3 linked regions of the Tamandua tetradactyla genome follow. The protein of the gene in region 3 purifies or fractionates together with the protein of the main gene of each other region. This does not show direct contact. Links are inferred from orthologs where the notes say so. Each region holds a gene or a part of one and is shown on either strand. Other genes may lie near its edges. The genes, in order: RASSF3, MAP1S and STK4.

Region 1 (7,189 bases), on a different chromosome or scaffold from region 3:
TTGAGAGAATTATAAGATAAGGTACATGTAAAAACATCCAGCCAATTATTATCAAACCAAGAAAGCATTCATTCATTCAACTAGTGTTCACTGAACAACTACCATATGTTAAGCATTTGTCAAGGCACCAGATATACAACATAAAAATGACATTCAAACTGCCATAAAAAGCCTGGCATGGCAGGTGAGAAATTCTACCACTGAACTACTCATGCACAATCTTTTTTTCTTAATAGAAAAAAATATCAAAATAAAATTAAAAGCAATGATAACATTTTCTTGTGTGTGTATATAAGGTTTCTGTTATTGTTGGAGACAAAAAAAGTTGGGATACATTTTTATTTGGCAAAAAAAATTTATCTCCACCCCCACCCTTTCTCCCCATCCTGCCTTTACCACAAACATCTCGCTTTCTCTTGATATTTTCAAGAGTTCTAAAAACCACATTTTCCTAGCTTTTCCACCAGGTGGTATGACACCAAAAAAAAATCACTATTATGTATAATAAGATTGTTACGATGACACCTTTTCTACACTGCTTGTACAAATTGCTTATTATCTTATTTCTTTATAATTACCACATAATAAAATAAAAACAGGCTTACCTACTCTTAGGTAAAAGAAATGTTCCAAATTAAGGGTATCTGGCTTTATATTTACGGTAACTCATTTCTTTAACTAAGAAATGCTATCAGGAATAATAGATTCACTCAAGTCACTTCTTTAAACAAACCAAAATACCAACCTAAGTAAGATTCAGGATTCATAATACTTTCTCCACCTGGCAAATAAGTCCTATCACTCAGAACCTTGCATGTGTTAAATTAAAGGGGAAAATATGCAGGCATTAAAGCTTCAGATTACATGTACTTATCTCTTTAAGCAAGGAATTAGGTCATACCATCCCAGAATTTCAAAATACATATTGTTAGACTAATTCTAATTGTTAAATGAAAGATATTATGACTATAAAGACGTTAAATGAATTATTATATAAATTAAAGCATAACATAGAAACAGTGTGTGTGTGTGTGTGTGTGTGTGTGTGTGTGTGTGTGTATAAACCTAGGGAAAAAATGGATGTTTTTACTTTTTAAAGCCCTAAAGGATTCATGAGAATGCATGGAATTGCATGCGCCCTTATGAAGTAGCCTCTTATTTAGGAGACTCCCAAGAACCAGCAAGTTTTCTGTAAATTACAGGCCACCTCGGGGATAGACTTCAAACTACAACCATCTCCTACAACTGCATGTCAAATGGTAACAGCAACATTTATTGGAAGGACAAAACGCAGAGCCAAAACAGGAAAGAAATAGAAGGGAGGAAAGAATGGGCCAAGAAAAAGAAAAAAGCAAAGTGAAAACAGCACAAGGAAATGCAATTCTTCCATAACCGATTGGGGAAGGAGGATGTTTCTGGCTTCCAAACTTCACAGCAATCTCATATCATCAGAACACAGTCTACTGAAAATAAGAGATCACTCAAAGTGACTAGTAAATTGTGCGACCTTAAACCTCAGAAACAATAAAGACCGGGAAACTAAGGCACCGGGACTTCACTCTGGATTAACCGTTCTTACTGAATAAGGGCGCTCGACTTCACTTTTGCACTCTACTCTCTCGCTCTCTCTTTCTCTCCCTCTTTGGTCTGGAACTCAAAAGGTTGAAAAGACTAGAATTTTCGAAACTTCAAAAGAAATCTGACCTCAGAAAGAGGTCAAATAAAAGATCTGGTAAGGAAACCCTGGCACAACCCCCACCCAGCCGACCAACTCATTATCCGGGTCCTGGAAAGATTATTTGTTATTATTAATCTACTCACTAGGACTAAGGCTGTTAGAAATGTTCGGTGCGCGCCTGTTGTTTTTTAAAAACAATTCTGTTCCAGTTCAGCCTTCCCTAATCTGATGTAGTACCGCTGGGCTGGCGGCGCTCCCTGGTGCGGCTCCCAGGGCCAGGAGGGAGCGGGTTCAAGCACCACCCTTGCAAGTCAGCCCAAGTGCCCCAATTTGGGAAGACCTCCCTAAAAAACACTAACGGTCGGCGAAACCCGTCCAAGTTCTGTCCCAACTTTTCATGCTTCCCACGGCACGCTTCCTCCAAAAAAGGAAGAGAACGCCCTAAATCTCAGCTCTCGAGCGCTAACATCAACCTAACACCGGAACTTGTCTGTAAAACATTCGCGACTTCTACGAACTTGGCTTTACAAGAAACGCACAACTCTGACTCCCGCAACCACCATTTCTTGAGCGCCTACTGTCGTCAGGCCCCGCACGTCCCTCGGCCTCCCCAAGATGAGCCCGGACCGGGAAGAGAGGGGCGGCAGGCTCACCGCAGCCACCTCTGGCTATTACACGCCCCCACCCCCAAGCCACTCAGGGGATCACTAAACGGATCAGGAGTGGCGGTCCGCGGGCCGACCCGACTATTTATCCACCATGGGCACAGGGGAAACGCCAGAGCCGCCTCCTTGCACTCGGAACTGCTCCCCCGTAGACAACTCGACGCCCTGGCTTTGCCAGGAGGACGGCGGCCCCGGGCAGCCCCCAGACGGAGCCGCGAAGGTCATCCGGCGCTGAAGGCAGAACCCCGGGAGCCTCAGCCTCCCGGCCCTTCTTCCTCCTTCCTCGCCCAGGGGCCCCATGCGCTCACCCTCACGCCCACATGCACAAGCTTAAGGCACGACCCCGGGATCCAAAAAGGATGAAGCCACTTCTTGGCGGCCTCCTTCCAGGCGTGCTCAACGGAGGCACGTGGAGTTTCAGGGAGACCCGGGCGGCTGGACCCCCAAGAGGGATGGGGCGCGACCAACAACCGCGGCGCACGCCACTCACTTGTTGGCCGGCGCGGGGCTTGCCCTGGGGCGCCCTTCTGAAAAAGGAGGTTCTGGCGGTGAAGAAGAAGTCCTCGGAGTCCTCCTCCAGACTGCTGTAACCGCTGCTCATGGTGCTGGTCCCGTCGCGCGCGGCAGGCCTCCCCGGGGCGCAGGCGGCCAAGCAGGGCGCGCCGCGCCTTCTTAACCTGCAAGGTTCCCGGCGCCGGGCCGCGAGGCGCCGGCGGGCAGTCCAGCTGCAGCTACGGCTCGGTCCGGCCGTCCGGGCCCTCCAGCAGCCTAGCCGCTGGGTTCCAGGCGCGGCCCCTGCCGGGGTGCGCCCGCGGCCACGCCTCCCGGAGCCCCGCCCCGCAGTCCGCCCGCTGGGGCCGGGCCACCGGCTCCGCCCCTCCCTTCGCCACCGCAAACACTCCCCGCGCGGCCGCAGGTGGGGGCTGCACAGCCCGCCCCTTCCAGGCGGTGCTTTTTCCTAGCAGGTTTTGTGTCGCCCGGCAAGCCTCCTTCGAGGGCTGCGTTTGGTAGGTCTGTGCTCTGGGTCGCTTTTCCAACCTCCCGGAAACTGCCTAATTCTCTGTGATCGGCCCGCCCGCCCCTCACTCCGCAGGCCCGGGTTTAGGGGAGGGCCTGAGCAGAGCTGGGAGCTTTCCCCTCGGTCCCCGCCCGGCTCGCTCTCTTCCTGGGCCCTGCGGGTGGCGGTGGAGTTGTCTGGCCGAGGGGTCCCGGTCCTGAACCCGAGCAGCTCGTTGTTCCAAGAGGGCTAAAAGTTATCGGAGACTGGCGAGTAGCTCTTCACTAGATTGGGTTTATTCGAACTAAAACGTCCTCTCTAGTGATTCAGTCGAGCTTCGGAATTTCCCCGTCCGCCTTCTCTCTAGCGAGGGGTCACTCCCCACGAGGACGGCCAAGGTCATTATGATCTTGGAGCCACGTGGGGCAAGGGGCTGGGGTCGATGAGCTAGCTATCTAGTTAGGGAATGTTTTAAACAATCGTGTGCTTTTTAAATGTTTCCTTCCAGAATCAGCCTTATACAGTCCCCTACAAGAAGACATGGCTTAAGTGGGGGCGGGGGCATCAGTGAATTGTATTCAGCCAGCGTCCTTGTGAAATTCTACTAGATGGCGAATCATCTTTTACTTTTTTTCGCGAGGGGAGGGTGGGGGTAGTGTATGGGCGGAGAATCGCGAATCATCTTTTAAAATGCACAATCACCCTCCAAGCCACCAATGGGTACCAGTGATTTACACCTTGGCGCATACTGAACTGGTTTAAATCATACTAATTTCAGTATGTACAGATCTGAAGGTTGTTCCATTGCCTCAGGAGTAAGGAAACTTCAGGAATGGGAAAGAAGAGAAGAGGAGGGTTAGAAAGAAAAACTTCACCCGTTATAGCTGAACTTCCTCACATTATCTCCCTTAATCCTCAAAACAGCTCTGTTAGTTCTATTTTCTGTCTCCTTCACACCTGGGGCAGCGGATATTTAGCGAGAGGAAGGTAGCCCTAGGTAGCAGTACTGGCATTCTCTCTGCTTTCAGCTGAGCTGAGGGTCTTCAAGATATCCTTACAGGCCTTAAGATTGTTGGGTAGTTAGCCATGCTCAGTTGTGGCATGGCAGCACGGAGAGAAGTAGAATGGGTCAGGAATCATTTATCCCTTTAGAATGGCTGCTATTAAAAAAAAAAGTGTTAGAAAGGATGGAGAAATAGGAACACTCCATTGCTGGTAGGAGTGTAAAATGGTGCAGTCCTTATGGAAAACAGTTTGGAGGTTCCTCAAAAAGCTAAGTATAGAATTACCATATGACTCGGCAATCCCGCTACTAGGTGTACACCCAAAAGAATTAAAAGCAGAGACTAGAACAGATATTTGCACACTGCTGCTAATAATGGCATTATTCACAATTGCCAAAAGATGAAAACAACCCAAATGTCCATCAACCAATGAATGGATAAATAAAATGTAGTATATGATACAATAGACTATTATTCAGCTGTAAAAAGGAATGAGTTGGGTGCACGGTGGTTCAGTGGTTGAATCCTCACCTACCATGCAGAACTCCTTATTTCTGTTCCCAGCCCATGCACATCCTCCCTGTCCCCCCCACTCCCCCCCCCAAAAAGAATGACGTTCTTATACATGGGACAACATGGATGAACCTGAAGCCATCAGGTTGAGAGAAATAAACCAGACACAAAAGGGCAAATATTGTATGATCTCACTAACTTAAAATAATTAGAATAAGCAACTGCTAGAGTTAGAATCTAGAATAGGGGTGGGGAAAGGGAATGGGAATTTAAGGCTTAAAATGTACAGGGTTCAAAAAAAAGATAAAATGTACAGGGTTCCTATTTGTAATTATGGAAATGTTTTGGTAATGGATGGTGGTGATGGTAGCACAGCATTGTGAACACAATTAGCAGCACTGAAATAAACATACATCTGAATATGATTAAAAAGGGAAATGTTAGATTGTATATGTGATAACAGAATACAAGTTAGAAAAAAAATCCACGGAGCTACATTACATGGAACCCTAAGTTAAACCATAGACTTTAATAGTAGAGTTATAAAAATGTGCTGTCATCAATTTTAACAAATGTTTCACATCAATGCAAGGTGTTGATGTTGGGGTGGTGGTTGGGAATCCTATATTTTAAGCATGATTGTTCTGCAAAACCACAACTTCTCTAATAAAAAAAATTTAATAATTTTTTTTTTAAGTCAGTTATCCCCAGTTTAAAAGAAGGCCTCTGCTTTCCTTTATGCCCTCTCACCACATCCATCTTGGAAATTGGTATATTACCCTACATGGTTCACAACAACTCTATGAGGCCAGCCTTACAGAACAGTCATTTTAAAGGTCCCACAACATTAAACCCTTCCTGGCTGCACAGCTAATGAGTGGTTAGAAATCAGGAATTCTAACCAGGGCATTGTTTTGCCCAGTCTAAACTAATCCCTGGGTGTGCCATGCACATAATCTCATATAAAACAATAGGGCAGTTTTCTGACTTTATGAAAGATTTTTCTTATTTGGTGCCATTTTTTCATTATTTCATGAATGTAATCCTTATTAAATACTCCAATTTATGAGTGATATACAGGTTAAAGAATTTAGATATCTAATTTTAACATAACCCAAATTGAAGGAGGCGAGCACAGTCTCAAAACTGAGGGCCATGGTCCAAAGGAACCAGAGCAGTAGAGAAAACTGTTTCTTGGTGGTTTTAGCTTTGAAACTATGGATGATAATTTAAGAGAATATTTTGAGAAATGGGGCACACTCATAGATTTAATAGTGATGAGAGACCTCCAAACAAAACATTTCAGAGGCTTTGGTTATGTGATTTACTGTTGTGTTGACAAGGTAGATGCAGCATTGTGTGCTGGACCATGCAAGCTTGATGTGCGTGTAGTGGAAACAAAGAGAACTGTTTCTAGAGAAGATTCTGCAAAACCTGGTGCCAAACTAACAGTGAAGAAAGTTTTTGTTGGTGGCATTAAAGAAGATACAGAAGAATATAATTTGAGAGGCTACTTTGAAAAGTATGGCAAGATTGAGATCATAGAAGTTATGGAAGATGGGCAGAGTGGAAAAAAAAAAGATTTGCTTTTGTAACTTTCAGTGATCATTTTATACAGTTGATAAAATTGTTGTTTAGAAATACCATACTATTAATGGGCATAATTGTGAAGTGAAAAAGGCCCTTTTTAAACAAGAGATGCAGTCTGCTGGATCATAAAGAGGTCATGGAGGTGGATTTGGCAACTTTGTGGGCTGTGGAGAAAACTTTGGAGGTGGGGAGAACTTTGGTGGAAGAGGAGGCTGTGACGAAGGAGGTGGTAGCAGCAGAAGTAGTCATGGAGGAGTTGATGGTGGATATAATGGATTTAGAGGTGATGGTGGCAACTATGAAGATAGCCATGGTTGAAATAAATGAAATTGAGAACATGAAAACAATTGAGAAAATCAACAAAACCAGAAACTGGTTCTATGAGAAAATCAATAAGATTGATGGACCTATAGCAAGACTGACAAAAAGAAGAGAGAGGATGCAAATAAATAAGATCAGAAATGGAAGAGGAGATATAACCACTGACCTCACAGAAATAAAGGAAGCAATGACGGGATACTATGAACAACTTTATGCTAATAAATATGACAATTGTAGATGAAATGGACAACTTTCTAGAAAGGCATGAACAATCAACTTTGACTCGAGAAGAAATAGTGACCTCAACAAACCAATCACAACTAAAGAAATTGAATCAGTCATTAAGAAGCTCCCACTCAAAAATGGACAGCACAATAATACCTAATTGTAATGTAATTATGTTAAAACACTGAATGAAGCT
Region 2 (7,281 bases), on a different chromosome or scaffold from region 3:
CTCCCATTCTGCCCTGCACCCTCCACCCCCCACCTCGGCCCCTGCCATCGCCCCCATCTCCCTGCCTCCCCAAGCAGACTGCGAACCCAGAGGGGTGGACCCAATCCAGGGCCACCCCATCCCCCAGGGGGGCACTGACTTAGGGTGAACTTCTGTGGACCAGGAGGGCACAGGGAGACAGGTGGGGGCCCCTCACCTCCTTATCCTCCAGGATCTGGAGGAAGTGGTGGGATGAGAAGCCCCCGGTCTGTAGCAGCAGCTCCCCTGTCTCCTCCAAGCAGGGCCCTGCCAGCACCAGCAGCTTGTGAGGGGCGGGGTCCAGCAGAAGGTTCCGGAGCTGCAGAGGGGCGCAGTATTAGGGTACGTGCCCCACGAAGGCATCCAGCCCCATCATTCCCTCCGTCCCCACCCTGTGTGGAGAAAGCAGTCTCTGGACCTCCAAACCCCACCCCCCAGCAAACTCCTGCTCATCCTACAAAGGCCCTGCTCCTCCTTAGCTCCTTCCGACCCAGTACTGATGTTCTCTCCCCCGGACCACAAGCTCTCAAGGTAGCAGAAGGAGTGAACCTGGGAAAGGTGTCCAGTGGCTGCCCAGGGCTGTCCCTCTAAGAGGCCAGATGCCCACAGCTGGGGGCCTGGATAAGCACGTCTAGCCAAGGGGGCTGGGAGCTAATGCTGGTCAGGTCTGGCCTGTGTTAGAGAACTGCCTTTACCCCCTGGGGGAGGCTGGGTGGGGCCATCAGGGCTGCTTCCTGGGAGTAGGGAGAGGATCTGGGGCAGAGCAAGGTGGGGGCCCAGGATGGGGTCCTGGCAGCCCACCCGCATGTCCTCACCTCCTCACACAGGGACTTGTCGGCCGCGTTGAGGAGCACCAGGGCCTCCAGGGCGTCCCCACGGTGGTGCAGGCTTCGCTGGCCTATGGGGGAGCCGGGCCATGGGCAGGGGCCACCGGGAACACCCGGTTAATGAGCCCCCCCCCCCCACAGGAGGGCTGCAGGTGGGGATGAGGCTGGACCCCAGCCCCAGAGTCAGGTCAGGACCCCCACCCTGTGCCTCTACCGGGAAATGGGGTCCCCACACTGGAGGGCCACCCCTAACCTAAGGACACAGAATGACAGACACACGGAAAGATGGCCACTCTGTGCACCTTCACCCTGGCCTTCTGGGTCCCGGGACTGTGGTGAGTGTCTGTTGTTTGAAACCCCTGAGGGGGCCACTTGCCCCCATTTGAGGTGCCAGGGAAGGGCCCGAGGCAGAGGCCCCAGGGGAGGGAGGTGGCATAGAAGGGAGCGAGGGCAGCAGCCGATAGGGGCTGCAGGACATCAGGAGCCACGAAAGTGGTGAGTCCAAGCCCTGGTCTGTGTCCCCAGAGCCCGGGCATGATCCTCGCGGGCCAGGCCAAGGCTGGAGCTGTGTCCAGTTGGCACCACCCACCTGCCCCTAGCTCCTGCACACCATGCGCACTTATCACGTGTGGACACAGCCCGCTCACAGGTGGGAAACCGAGGTACCGCCTGGGTACACAGCCCTGCAACCCACAGGCGGACCGAATGCCCAGCCTCACCCCTGCAAGGGTTCAGGAAGCAGCTGGGATGGGGCTGCGGTCACTTCCTTCCCTGCCCAGAGGCAGGAGTGACTCAGCTGGAGCCTCTGGGCAACACGTGGGCCCCAGTGGGCAGCCCCCGGCCTCTACTATGCTCCTCCTTGGCTCCCCACTGCTGAGCACCTACTGTATACCAGGCCCTGTGTGAAGCAGACCAGGTCCTGCCCCTGCAGGGCCCACACTCAGCCCCAGGGGCCACCAATCAACTGGATAAGCCCTTCCCGCTGCATCTCAGCCACAGGCCCCCTCCTCTCCTCCGGGCCCTCACACCTCGGTTTCCTCATCTGTAAACGGGGGCCTTGGGGTGTCTGAGGATGGAGGGGGCCCTATGGGGGCTCCTATCCCGTTGTTCTCACATCTGGCACCCCGGAGGAGCTGGGGCAGGCAGGGACCCCTCCTCACCTTTCACGATGCTGGAGAAGGTGGCTGAGTGCCGGGACACAAAGATCTTCAGTTGCTCATCCAGGCTGCAGATGCTGGGGTCCACGTCCCAGGAACGGAGGCCTGGGGGACGGGGTGAGGGTCAACCGGTATCCCAGGCCCCCTCCTCCACCTACCCTGCAGTGCCATGGGCCCCTGCCCAGACTCAGCATTTCAGACTCAGATGTGGCCCTCTCCCCTGCCTCCTCTCCCCTGCCTCCTCTTCCCCTCCACCCCACCAGGCCTGGGCTTGGCCACAGCCCTTTGGGGCCCACCTGTCACTGTACCCCATACCCTCTACCCAGCCAAGAGCTCAGCACAGGTGCTCCGGACACCTCGCCAGGTGTGCACCGCCCCTCTGTTGTACAGGAGGCCCCGGGAGGGGGCGCGACATCGCTCCCAGCCCCCGTGCAGTTTCACGGCACCAGTGCCAGGATAGCAGGTGAACCCTACAGGTGTACCCGTGACTCATCTGCCGGCTGCCAGGTCCCGCAGGCCTCCGGCCCACGCCCCAATTAGCAGTCCCCGCAGCAGCCAGGGAGGAAAAGAGCGCCCTGCGGGCTCCAGGCCCGCCGCCCTAGCTGCTCTCGGTCCAGGCCGGGATTCCCAGCTGCCCACCAGGCCCCGACGTTGTCCCCACCCCGCCGCGGCCGAGTGGGTCCTGCGCTGCAGGCGAGGCGGCCTGAGCCGGGTGGGCGCCCGGGCCCCTGGCGGACCGCGGGGTCCGGGGCGCTGGGCGGCTGGGGGCTGGGACCGGCGGCGCACACGCGCTCCCCGGGAGGGCCTCGGCGGGGCGCGGGGACAAGGCCCAGGCTGCCTGATCGCGCGGGTCGCAGGCCCCGGGCGTGGCCCCCACGGCCGTGTCCGCCTCCCCCAGCCACGTCCCCCCGCGCCCGCGTCCCCGCCCGAGGGCCCGACCTCGCTCCAGCTCGTCCAGCACGTAGGCCAGCAGTCCCGGGCGCCCGCACTCGCCGCCCACCACGAGCAGCAGCGAGCTCGGCGCCACCGCCGCCACCCCGGGCCCCGCCGCCGCCGCCGCCGCCGCCATCTTCGCGCGGCCCCGAACCCCGAGCGCCGCTCCGCCCCGCCCCCCCTCGCGTGACATCACCCACGACCAATCGGACGCGGCGCTCCGCGCGCAAGTCCCGCCCCTTAAAGGCGCCGGACGGGTGGGTTGCAGCCCCCGCTCTGCCCGGAAGTGCCCCCACCTTGCCCCTTTGTCTGCCCCCTCCTGGGCCTTCGAGGTTGTGGGGAGCTGGGGATGGGGCGCCGCTAAAGGGGCTGGCCGGCTCTGGGTCTCCGCCTTGTGCCGCCCACCTGACCGTTCATTCGTTCATGCGTGTATTGATTCAGCAAGCATTGGCCCTGTGGCTGCCGCGTGCCAGACAGAGTCCCTGCCCTCGGAAACTCACATCACATCACTGTGGGATAATCAGAACCCAGCCTAGATGCTCCCAGCCCCCGGACTCAGGACTTGACCAGAGAGAATTCATCTTGTCCTTAGGGTTTTGCGGGATGCATAGGAGTTCGGTAGGTGCGTGGGGAGGGTGTGACTGATGGAGTACGGATATGGCCAGGTGGAAGTTAGAGCACGTGGAAAGTTTCAGAGGTAGGAAACTACAGTGGCGTTTGCTCCACATCACTGTAGCCCCGAAGCAGGGTGACACACTTATTTGGCACCTTCTGTGTGCCAGTCATTGTACTACCTCAGCTCCTCGAATATGTGCACAGACCTATGAGGTAGGCACAGTTATGGCCATTTCAAAAGAGAAGAAATAGGCTTGGAGAGACAAGTCACCAGGCACATAGCAGTAGGGCCAAGACTCCAATCCAGGTCAGTCCAATTCCAGACCCAGCCTGTGGCACTGCCTGCCTGGCTCCTGAGTCTCCCCCTTTCCTCCCCCAAACAATCGTGTCCGGCCCTTTCGTCCATGGCCACCACTCCTGTTACAGTAAACCTCTGGACAGTTGGCTGTGTCCAGGCAGGGCTGGGCTATCTTCTTTGGGAGCGAGCTTCCCATTTATGGAAGTATCCAAAGCATAGCGGGTCAGAGATGGGGAAATTCTGCAAAGCAGCATCAGCCTCCTGTTCTCTGGGTTGTTCAGCCCGACTTCCTGCCTGGCAAGTGTGTAACGGCCTTGGGGGCCCACTTAGAGTCTGACCGTCTGACTTCCTCTCTCCTTTGCGCCCTGGTATCCTTCCCATATCCCTTCCCTCCTCCTTTGCGCCCTTCCTCGAGTTGTACTCATGTCCTAGGGCCTGTGATTTCCTGATTATTACTCTGACAGGTGATGGGGGGTTGGGGGGGAGCATCTGTGCCGGGCTGTGCCCTTGTCCGGTTGAGGCCATCTGGGTCCCTGGCCTCATGCAGGAGCTCAGAGTGGGTTTGTCTACTGTCCCTTCGCCAGTTGGGCTTTCCGTGGGTGTTGACTGGGTCTGAATTTGCACCTAGGACCACCTGGCTGGACTCCACGCCCTTACCTGTGCCTGAGGCTATAGCTTGTGACCTTGGCATTAATTCTAATCGGTGCTCAGATGTGTCTCCACCAGGAGACCCATTTGCAGCACCCCCTTCAGCTTCTGGGGTCCAGCCCATCTCAAAGTCCCCAGCACAGAGCTCAGAGCAGTGCTCCTGCCCGCCCCCCCACCCCTGTCCCATGCCCATGGCCCAGAGGCCCTCAGGGATGCCCGAAGCTCTCAGCAAAGCCCGGCCCCAGCAATCCTGTTTCCTTTGGACTGTCAGCCATGGCGTCCATGGGGTCAGGGGAGGTGCTTGAGGAGGGCGAGGGCCTAGGTGGGTGCTCCCAGCCCAGCCGCACCTTGGCCTCCCTGGCTGCAGGGAAGGACCCCTTCCCCCGGCACCCCCTGCCCACCTGGCTGCAGACCTCACACACCTGGGCCACACACACTGTGCACCTGGGTGTGCCATCTTGGCCCCTGGGTGCACAAGGAGTGGACGTTTGCTCCTTTTCCCACCGTGAGCATCGCTGGAAGTTTTTTCTTGTATTGTGCAAAGTATACCTAGCATAAAATTAACCATTTCAGCCTTCGTAAAGAGTGCGATTTGGTACATTAGCTACGTTCACAGCAGTGAGCACCCATCTCCACTAGTTCCAGAACATTCTTGCTACCCCAAGGGAAGCCCGTCCAGTCAGCAGTCACCGGCGACCCCGTCCCCGCCCCAGCACCTGGCCTGGCTCTCACTCGCCTTCCGGGGCCCCGCGAGTTAGTCCTTTTTCTGGCTGATCAACACCCCGTTGTGTGGAGCCCACATGTGCTTGCCCTCCCTTCTGCTGCCAGACCTTTGGGTGGTCTCCACCTGATGCCGCCAGGACGTCTGTGAACAGGCCTGCAGGACCTCTGCAGTCCCTTTGCCTCTGTGCCAGGAGTGGGATGGCTGGTCCCGCAGCTCTGTGGTTCATTTCTTTTTTTCTTTTTTTTAAATTTATTTATTAATTAAAAAAATAAAGAAACAAAATAAAGCAACATACATAATCAGTAATTCACAATATCATCACTTAGTTGCATATTCATCATTTCTTAGAACATTTACATTAATTCAGAAACAGAAATAAAAAGACAATAGAAAAAGAAATAAAACGAACACAGGAAAGAAAAGAAAAAAAAAAGATTATACCTACCATACCCCTTATCCTTTGCTTTCATTGATCACTAGCATTTAAACTAAATTTATTTTAGCATTTGGTCCCCCTATTATTTATTTTTATTCCATATGTTCTACTCCTTTGTTGACAAGGTAGATAAAAGCAGCATCAGACACAAGGTTTTCACAATCACACAGTCACATTGTGACAGCTGTGTCATTATTCAATCATCCTCAAGAAACATGGCTACTGGAACACAGCTCTACAGTTCCCTCCAGCCTCTCCATTACATCTTGAATAACAAGATGATATCTACTTGATGCATAAGAATAACCTCCAGGATAACTTCTCGACTCTGTTTGGAATCTCTCAGCCATTGACACTTTGTCTCATTTCCCTCTTCCACCTTTTGGTCCAGAAGGTTTTCTCAATCCCTTAATGCTAAGTCTCAGCTCATTCTAGGGTTTTTCTCAATCCCTTGATGCTGAGTCTCCATTCATTCCAAGATCTCTGTCCCACGTTGCCAGGAAGGTCCACACCCCTGGGAGTCATGTCCCACGTAGAGAGGGGTAGGGTGGTGAGACTGCTCATTGTGTTGGCTGGAGAGAGGCCACATCTGAGCAACAAAAGAGGCTCTCTTGGGGGTGACTCTTAGGCCTGAATTTTAAGTAGACTTGACCTATCCTTTGCCGGGTTAAGTTTTATATGAACAAACCCCAAGACTGGGGGCTCTGCCTATAGCTTTGGTTGTCCACACTGCTTTTGGGAATATCAAGAGTTCAACTTAGAGAAATTGAATTTCTCCCCATTCTCATGTGGTCCATTTCTTAAGGAGCCACCCCCTCCACACAGCACAGCACCCAGGCCGTCCCACCGCAGCCACACCCACGCGTGGCTTTGGGGCTTTTTAATTGTGAACATCGGGTACCAGCTTTTCACTATGGACATTCGAATGTTCCCAGTTTGGGGCTAATAAAGCTGTTTTTAGCCTTTTCATACCCCTCTAGGCGCTTGTACCCTCTTCTCGCAGCGCCAGGCGTTCCCAAGTGGCCGTGGGAAGGCTGCCTGCCCATGGCCTCGCCACCTTGTGGGCATGGGCTCATCGCCTCCCACCCCCACCCGCCAGGGCCTCTCAGCGCGGGAGTGCCAGTTCCCGAGGAGGGGCGAGGCGTCCTGGGGTCCCAGACATAGGAACCTCCTTGTGCCTTGGTTTCTCTGCCTCTTAAACGGACATAACAACAGCCGCCATCTTTGAGGGTCATTATGGGATTTAATTAAAACATGCCGAGTGTGCAGCCTGGAGCCCCCACAAGTTATTTTTGTGATTTACCATTTGACTTTGGACTGACTGGCCACAAATAGCACCCCGAGTAGACAGCTGGCACTGCACACAGCCAGGGTCTCCCCAGCAAGACCTCCCCCAGGCCTGTTTGCAGATGCACCGAGATTGGACTAACACTGGTCTAGCCCACATGGGGCATAGGTCTGTGCCCTGGAGCCAAGGCGCCACCTCGATTTCTGCACCTCTAGCCTGTCCCTAGGCCTCAGGGTGCAGCCGGGCCTGTGGGGGGCAGCCCTGGGGACAGCGCCTTAGGGGGCGCTCTGGGCGGGTGGCTTCGGGCAGATGTCTCCCGGTTCCAGATCCGGAGTGT
Region 3 (7,048 bases):
GAGCAGAGGGTGGAGAGCTGCCAAGAATCAGATTTCAGTTCAACAGACGTCAGAATTTTCTACCAATAAAATAGCACAGAATGCCTTAAGAGGTCCCTAGTTCCCTATCACTGGAGAATTTAAACAGAAAATGAATCACACGTGGCTGAAATGCTACAGAGTGGATTTAAGCATGAGAGAGAATCTTTAAAGCCCACTTATATTAAGATTCTATGATTCAAATGACATAACTAACTTTTGGGAAAAGATGTGAAAAATAATAGGCACATGGAAGTTTCAAACTAGCTCACAAAAATCCTCCAATGAGCAGCCATGTACCTTTGACTAGTTTCAAAAAACAAAGGTAAAGGGCACCTTACAACCTCCAACAGTAATTCAAGATTTTTCTGTTTAAGCTAGATAATCATAACAAACATGGGAGGCATACAAACATACTTTTTTAAATTCTGGGATCTGTGAAAATCAAAGCCCAGAATAAGTACATCCAGTTTTTTTTTTATATTTATATTATTAATAGGCTTAAAGAAGGAGCTTGCTAAGGAATCTGTGTATGTGTGTATGTGTATGTGCCTCTTCTACACAATGGCTTCCTGAAACTGCAAAGGACAACAAAGAAAAGTGAAGTAGGGAAATGGTGAAACATGGAAGTAGTCACATTGTAGATTTCTTTGTAAAGAAGAAGGTTTAAACTAGTTGGATAATATCAATTCTGATAAGACTTGAATTAAAAACATATATGTACATATACACATACACACACAAATATGTAACTTCCTAGAGAAATAGCAAAACCAGAAGAGAAGGCAATAAAATCCGAACACATCAAGTATATCTACCAATAAGCATAGATCTTAAAAGGACAGTCTTACAGAATTTTATATCAAGGACTAGGTACTAGAGAAATGGAGAACTGCTCCAAGCAATAATTGCCTTAACCTCAAACTTAACAAAACAAAACGACCATGCTGACCTTTGAAAATCAAAAGGTCCAAAAAATTAAATTCCAATGATATCATAAAAACTCCTAGTTTCAAAACATAAAAGACTGATGTGAAACTACTCTTAAATTTCAGAACTGAAATTTCTATGAAATCATAAGTTAGAACGAACATGTCATAAGCCAGTCATTTAGTTTTTATTCCTTGTGTCTTGTGTGTTTTTTGAAGCCCTAAATTATAATTATATAAACAATGGACAATACCTCATTTCTTAAGTACGATTAAAGTTTTATAAACAGTTTATCTAAAGGCAGATTCATGTGTTCCTTTGAATGTTGACTCTTTGTGGTCACAAAAAGCAAAACTCACTATTTCAACTACTACAGAGACCACAGCATAACAAAGGAAACTGCCACTGCCACGAGAGAAATAGCTGCAAGCCTCCAATAATACACTGACAGACAAACTTTATATGACTGCTCAGAATCCATTTAAAAAAAAATCCAAGTGGCTTTTTGTTAGTGTGTTTTTGGTCTAGGGTTATTTAAAACAACTTGAACTCAGGGGACCGTTATATCTCTGGTGCCTGGTAACCAAAAGGTGACCAATAGATGTTTACTAAATGGACTGAGTGTAATGATGGGAATCATAACCTTTATCAACAAGCTGTGAGTTTTCAAAATAAAACAGAACTTCATCTAAAAAAGTATTACTGGATTATCAATTAATAAGATTTCTAAAAAAAAATACTTTGATAAGTGAATCAATGTAATTTCCTACCATGAGTCTAAGTAATATTACCCAAACAGCCCAATTGTGAAGATGCAGCTGCCTCAATAGGGACTTCCCAGGTACTAGGCAGTTTCGATGTTGGCTCATAAACGATAGCGGTCTGGCCAGCACAGTCTCCATGGGCCAGATACGGCTGGGTGGTCCTCTCCTAAGTCAGAAGGCTTCGTGGGTGCCCAGCATCCCAGGAAAACTCTCTACACCATCCATCAAACCATCATTATTTAATGGTAACTCACCTTTAAAAATCATTAATTCCTATATAGGACAATAACTTTCAATCTGCCATCATTCACTCAGACACATGCAAATGTCAAACTTTGAACACAAAAAGCATTTCCTGCCTTGGGGTTGCTACCCCTTGCCTGCAATGCATACCTTCTGAATCTCCGAAAAGACCCCTTTCCAAACACAAATAAGGGTGTTTGAGAAGTAGTCACTCACAAGTTTGGCTAATACTCAAACCTCTACCTCCCATCTTAGATCTCCTGTAAGGGGTATTTTATTTATGTACACCTATCCTTCTTTCCACAAAGAATTTGATGTCGGTTACAACAAATATACAAAATTAACTAACAATTTTTATAAATGACAATAAAATGTAGCTACTGCAAATTAGGCACTCCACTGGTTATGATAAGCAGGAAAGTGCCAATCAATCAAGAACTCAGTCCTGCAACGCTCTTCTGTTGCATTTTTGATAATTTTTTTTTAATCCAAAAGATACAGGAATGGACATAGTGATCAGCACTGATGTCAAAAAGCAATAGGCTTACTCCTTTGCCCAAGATTACACAACACAAAGCAGAGTAGAAATTCAGATTCCTAATCCTTTTTCAATTAAGCCAAGGCCTCACTGACTCAAGGAAGAGAAAGAGCACACACATTTCAGAAAAAAATACATATAACCAGTATACAATAATAAATGGATTGCTACCATGCTATAGCAAATATCTGCTAACATAAGGCTTGTGAAACAAGGGTATTTCCGGAGGGGCAGCAGAGTGAGGCAGTTAAAAGCTCTGACTTTGCACTAGGTTGCCTCGATTAAAACCCCAGCTCGACCACTGACTGCAGGACCTCGGGCAATCACTAATCCCTCCATGCCTCAGTTTTATCATTTATAAAACAGAGAGCTAGGGATATCCACCTCACAGAATTGTAATAAGGATCAAATGAATTAGTAATAAATTGAACCATACGAAATTTCCATTTTTATAGGTCAAAAATCATCAAATGTCAGCAATTTCATACAGTCCACACAAGTATAAGGGGGTAAGAATCATCCTTATAACAGCACACTACGCTAGAGAGAATTATGAATCCATCCCAACCATTTATTTGCCTTCTGCAATGTTTGTGCACTTCGATCGACCCCAAGACTCCAGCCCATGCTGTCAATCCCTTTCTTTCACCTCTTCACTGGCCCACCCACTCAGCACTTCCTACTTTAGCGCTCCTTATGCTACAGGAAGTCAGAGGTCTCTACCAAATAAAAGCTAACTACAGCGCACCTCAGAAAAGCATGGCTCTTTCAGTCTCTACTCCCCACTTTTCTCTAGATACAGGAGAGTGGCATAAGACCCTGTGTCCACAGAGCAAATCAATAATAAAACTGCAACCAGACCCAAGATGTTAGACTTGATCAGTCACCTCCCTGATGTTGGCCTAAAACAATCCAAGTATCTCTAAGATCTGGAGCTGATAGTCACAAAACAGTAGAGGCCTGAGAAGAGCACAGTCAGACCAGATCCAGAGACCCGGACCCAGATCAAAAAGGGAAACAATTAGAACTGTGTCTCAACTCTTCTGGGCTTCACACTGCTCATCTTGAAAAGATCCTCTTATTTCCTAATCTATCTCCCAAAGTGGGGTTTGAAGGGATGAAGAGGATGTGAGGAAAATTAGGAAAGCACTCTGGATCTGAGGAATGACTGATGCCGTCATCACCCTAAAGTGGGGACAGGACACCACTAAGAGCATCCCTCTTGCTAGACTTTTCTTCACACTTCAGACTTAGGCGCAAGCTTTTCCCCTCAACATAGCTCCGACACGCGACTCCCCAGGTGGGACTCTCTCCCCTCCCTTAGAAAGTCCACCCGGTCTTCCCCTCCGCTGGTACCTTTAGAAAGATTCCTCAGAGGTTCGCATCCCACTTCAGTACCTCCACCACCACCACCAACCCCAATCCCAGTTAAGTCCCTTCTTAGCTAGCCTTCCCCAAGTGGTCCCCGCCCTCAGCAGGTGCTCCAGTCAGCGAGATTCCACCCCCTTTCCCAAGAGGTCCCCCACAAGTGCTCTCCCTGGCCAGTCCCACGTTTCTCCCCTTCGACGGGCGGGCCCCTCCGCCGAACCCCAGCCCCCAGAGATCCCCCACTCAGCGGGTGCCCCCATCAGTCCAGTCGCTTCACCCCCGCAGATCCCATCTCTCCCGGGCTTCCACACAGCCGTCTCCCTTCAGTCAGCTCCCACCTTTTCCCTGCCCCCCAGGACCCTTCCTCTCGGCCAGTGCCCCCTCACCGGCGCGGCGGGTTCCTCAGCTGCACCGTCTCCATGGCGTTGCCGGCAGCCGCCCGAGCCCGCTCACAGCTCCATCCTCCCCCCGGGCCGCCTCGAGCCCGCCCCGCAGACCCTCCCACACTTCCGCTTTCCGCCCCTACCGGAAGTAGCGCGCCGCGCGCGAGCCGGGCGGAGCCGCCGAGGCCCAGGCCGGAGAAGCCGGGCGTGGGTCACGTGGCGCTGGCCTGAGTCACGTGGCGGAGCTGGGGGCGGGGGGACCCTCTAACCGAGTCCTTTTGTCGCGCAGCTCGGGCTCCAGTCTGGGACCTCATCTCTGTCCGGGGCTGGCCCCCCATTTCTCAGACGGAGATATTGAGGCTTTTTGCGAAGCGCCGACTGGTTAAGAACTGTCGGTTCTTAACAACCCAAGTTCTACGCGCGTTGTGGGCAGCGTTCCTCCAGGAGTGCCTGAAAAGGTTTATGCTCCTCCTGTTGTTCCAGATCTTGTCCCAGATGGGGATTGGACTGTGCACATCAACTCGTTGTTGTCACAGAACAACAGCCTGTAAATTGCCCCACCCTCTCTCTTAGCTTCGCCTTTGAGTCAGTTTGTAGACACAAAAATAGTTAACGTTTTTCAGCACATGCCATGTGCCTGCTTTCATATTAATGTCATTTAATCCATCAAGGTCTTAAAGTTATCCCCGTTTTTATGTATTTAAATAATTATTTGACAAAGAGTGCTTGGCAGCATTCTCAGCGCTTTGCTAATTAGCTCATTTAATCCTAACGACGCTATACTATTATTATCCTCCTTTTGCAAGCCCGGAAAAGTAAAATATTTTGCTTCAAGGTAGCACAGTTAAAAGTAGAGGTTTGGAAACTCAGTCCAGGTCGGTTTGATTCCAGAGCCTACACCACTAAACTGGAAAAACCCTAATGTCTATCCTCTGGTTGAGCAAGACGTCTCCATTTGGAGCTCCAGTTCCAGCTATGACAAGTCAAAATCCTCAGTTGCCACCACTATCAGTGAGTGTTAGGAAAATGGCAGATTCTTCCCAGTGGGGAAGGTTACAGGAAAAAAATTATCTAGAGCAAACTCACTGGTTTTAATTTTCCTTATCCCAGAGGGATACCATCTACAAAACAACACCTAAGATAATGGAACCATTCACCTGCGAGGCCATTTGCGAAAAAAAAACTTACTGAGAATCGACTTTGAGCCAGGCATTGTCCTGACTTTTGACTTAACCTTCAAAACAACCCTAAGAATTATCTGTAGTTTATAGGTGAGGACTCTGAGACTCACATATACACAGCTAGTCAGAGCAAAGGTTTCAATCCAGGACTGTCCTGACTCCATAGCTTCCGTGTTTTATTTGCCACATTGCTCTATCAGAAATTTGTACAAGTGGCGGGTGGAGTCCTAAGAAAGGAAGAATCAAGGAGAGTTGTACAATGCTCAGGAGGGCATTACAAGTCTCTTGTAAGGAGTCAATCCTTTGTCTTCTGAAATCCTGTAGCATTTTTCCTTTCCTTCTCTCAAAGCACATTTTTTATCTTATGTGCAGGCCCTGCTGTAAGTGGATTTTTTACCCCTTGCTGGTCAGTTCTGTATCATAAGCTTGCCCACACAGCATAACAGGCATCCCTGTACGTGAGAAGGTATTCGGTAACATGAATTGTGAAAATAAATGTCAGTTTGCCAGTACATGGTTGTAAACAAACATTCCTCCTTTGTCCACTTCCTGGGATTATTTCAGAAGATGAACCAAGATTCGAATGGCCCTCTTTTTCTACAGATTATCCAGTCCAGCACTGTCTAATAGAAATTTGTGTGAGGATAGAAATGTTCTGTATGTGTGCTATCCAAACCTGTAGTCACAAGCTACATGTGGCTAGTTCAACTGAAAAACTTTTTTTTAATATTTTTATTGAGAAATTTTCACCTCCATACAGTCCATCCACAGTATACAATCAATGGCTCACAATATCATCACATAGCTGTGTGTTCATAACCATGATCAGTTTTTCACCATTTGCATCACTCGAGAAAAAAAAACAGAAACTCATACATCCCATACCCCTTACCCCTCCTCATTGACCACTAGTATTTCAATCCACCCAAATTTTTTTTCCCCTTTATTGCCCCCTATTATTTGTTTATTTTTCCTTACTTTTTTACTTGTCTGTCCATATCCTGGATAAAAGAAGCATCACACAGGAGGTTTTTACAATCACACAGTTACACTGTATAAGCTATATAGTCATACAACTGTCTTCAAGAGTCAAGGCTACTGGAACATAATTCAACAGTTTCAGTTATTTCCCTCTAGCCACTCCAATGCACCATAAATGAAAAAGAAATACCTATATAATGCATAAGAATAACCTCCAGGACAAACTCTCAAATCTGTTTGAAATGTCTCAGCCACTGAAACTTTTATTTTGTATCATTTCTCTCTTCCCCCTTTTGGTCAAGAGGTCTTTCTCCATCCCTTGATGTGGGTCCCAGCTCATCCCAGGAGTCCTGTCCCAAATTGCCAAGGAGATTTACACCCCTGGAAGGATCAGGAAAGCTTCTCTGAGAAAGCTGGGACAGTCATTCATTCATTCAGATATATACTGAGTGTCTTCTCTGGGCCAAGCATGCTACTATGTGCCAGGCAGTGAGCAATATAGATAAAAGTTCCCGCCCTCATGAGTCTCACATTCAAGTTGGCAAGATCAACAATAAACAAAAAGCAAATATGTAATATGTCTGCTATTAAAAGAGCTATGGAAAGAAAGAAATCAATGTAAGAAGTGTAGAAAGTGAACAG

What was found.
Region 1: the proteins of STK4 (region 3) and RASSF3 purify together in Homo sapiens (affinity purification with mass spectrometry; 5 studies listed by BioGRID and IntAct, with this or other methods). This does not show direct contact. The link is inferred for Tamandua tetradactyla from reciprocal best matches to the Homo sapiens genes STK4 and RASSF3.
Region 2: the proteins of STK4 (region 3) and MAP1S purify together in Homo sapiens (affinity purification with mass spectrometry; 3 studies listed by BioGRID and IntAct, with this or other methods). This does not show direct contact. The link is inferred for Tamandua tetradactyla from reciprocal best matches to the Homo sapiens genes STK4 and MAP1S.

Annotation. Positions count from the first base shown.
Region 1 is NC_135333.1:132,455,644-132,462,832, reverse strand, and holds the start of RASSF3 (ras association domain-containing protein 3), read right to left. Parts: upstream 3,127-7,189; 5' UTR 2,945-3,126; coding exon 2,834-2,944; intron 1-2,833.
Region 2 is NC_135337.1:96,482,962-96,490,242, forward strand, and holds the start of MAP1S (microtubule-associated protein 1S), read right to left. Parts: upstream 3,072-7,281; coding exon 2,942-3,071; intron 2,108-2,941; coding exon 2,006-2,107; intron 917-2,005; coding exon 834-916; intron 338-833; coding exon 197-337; intron 1-196. UniProt on the Homo sapiens protein: Microtubule-associated protein that mediates aggregation of mitochondria resulting in cell death and genomic destruction (MAGD). Plays a role in anchoring the microtubule organizing center to the centrosomes. Binds to DNA. Plays a role in apoptosis.
Region 3 is NC_135327.1:7,195,708-7,202,755, forward strand, and holds the start of STK4 (serine/threonine-protein kinase 4), read right to left. Parts: upstream 3,149-7,048; 5' UTR 3,121-3,148; coding exon 3,062-3,120; intron 1-3,061. UniProt on the Homo sapiens protein: Stress-activated, pro-apoptotic kinase which, following caspase-cleavage, enters the nucleus and induces chromatin condensation followed by internucleosomal DNA fragmentation.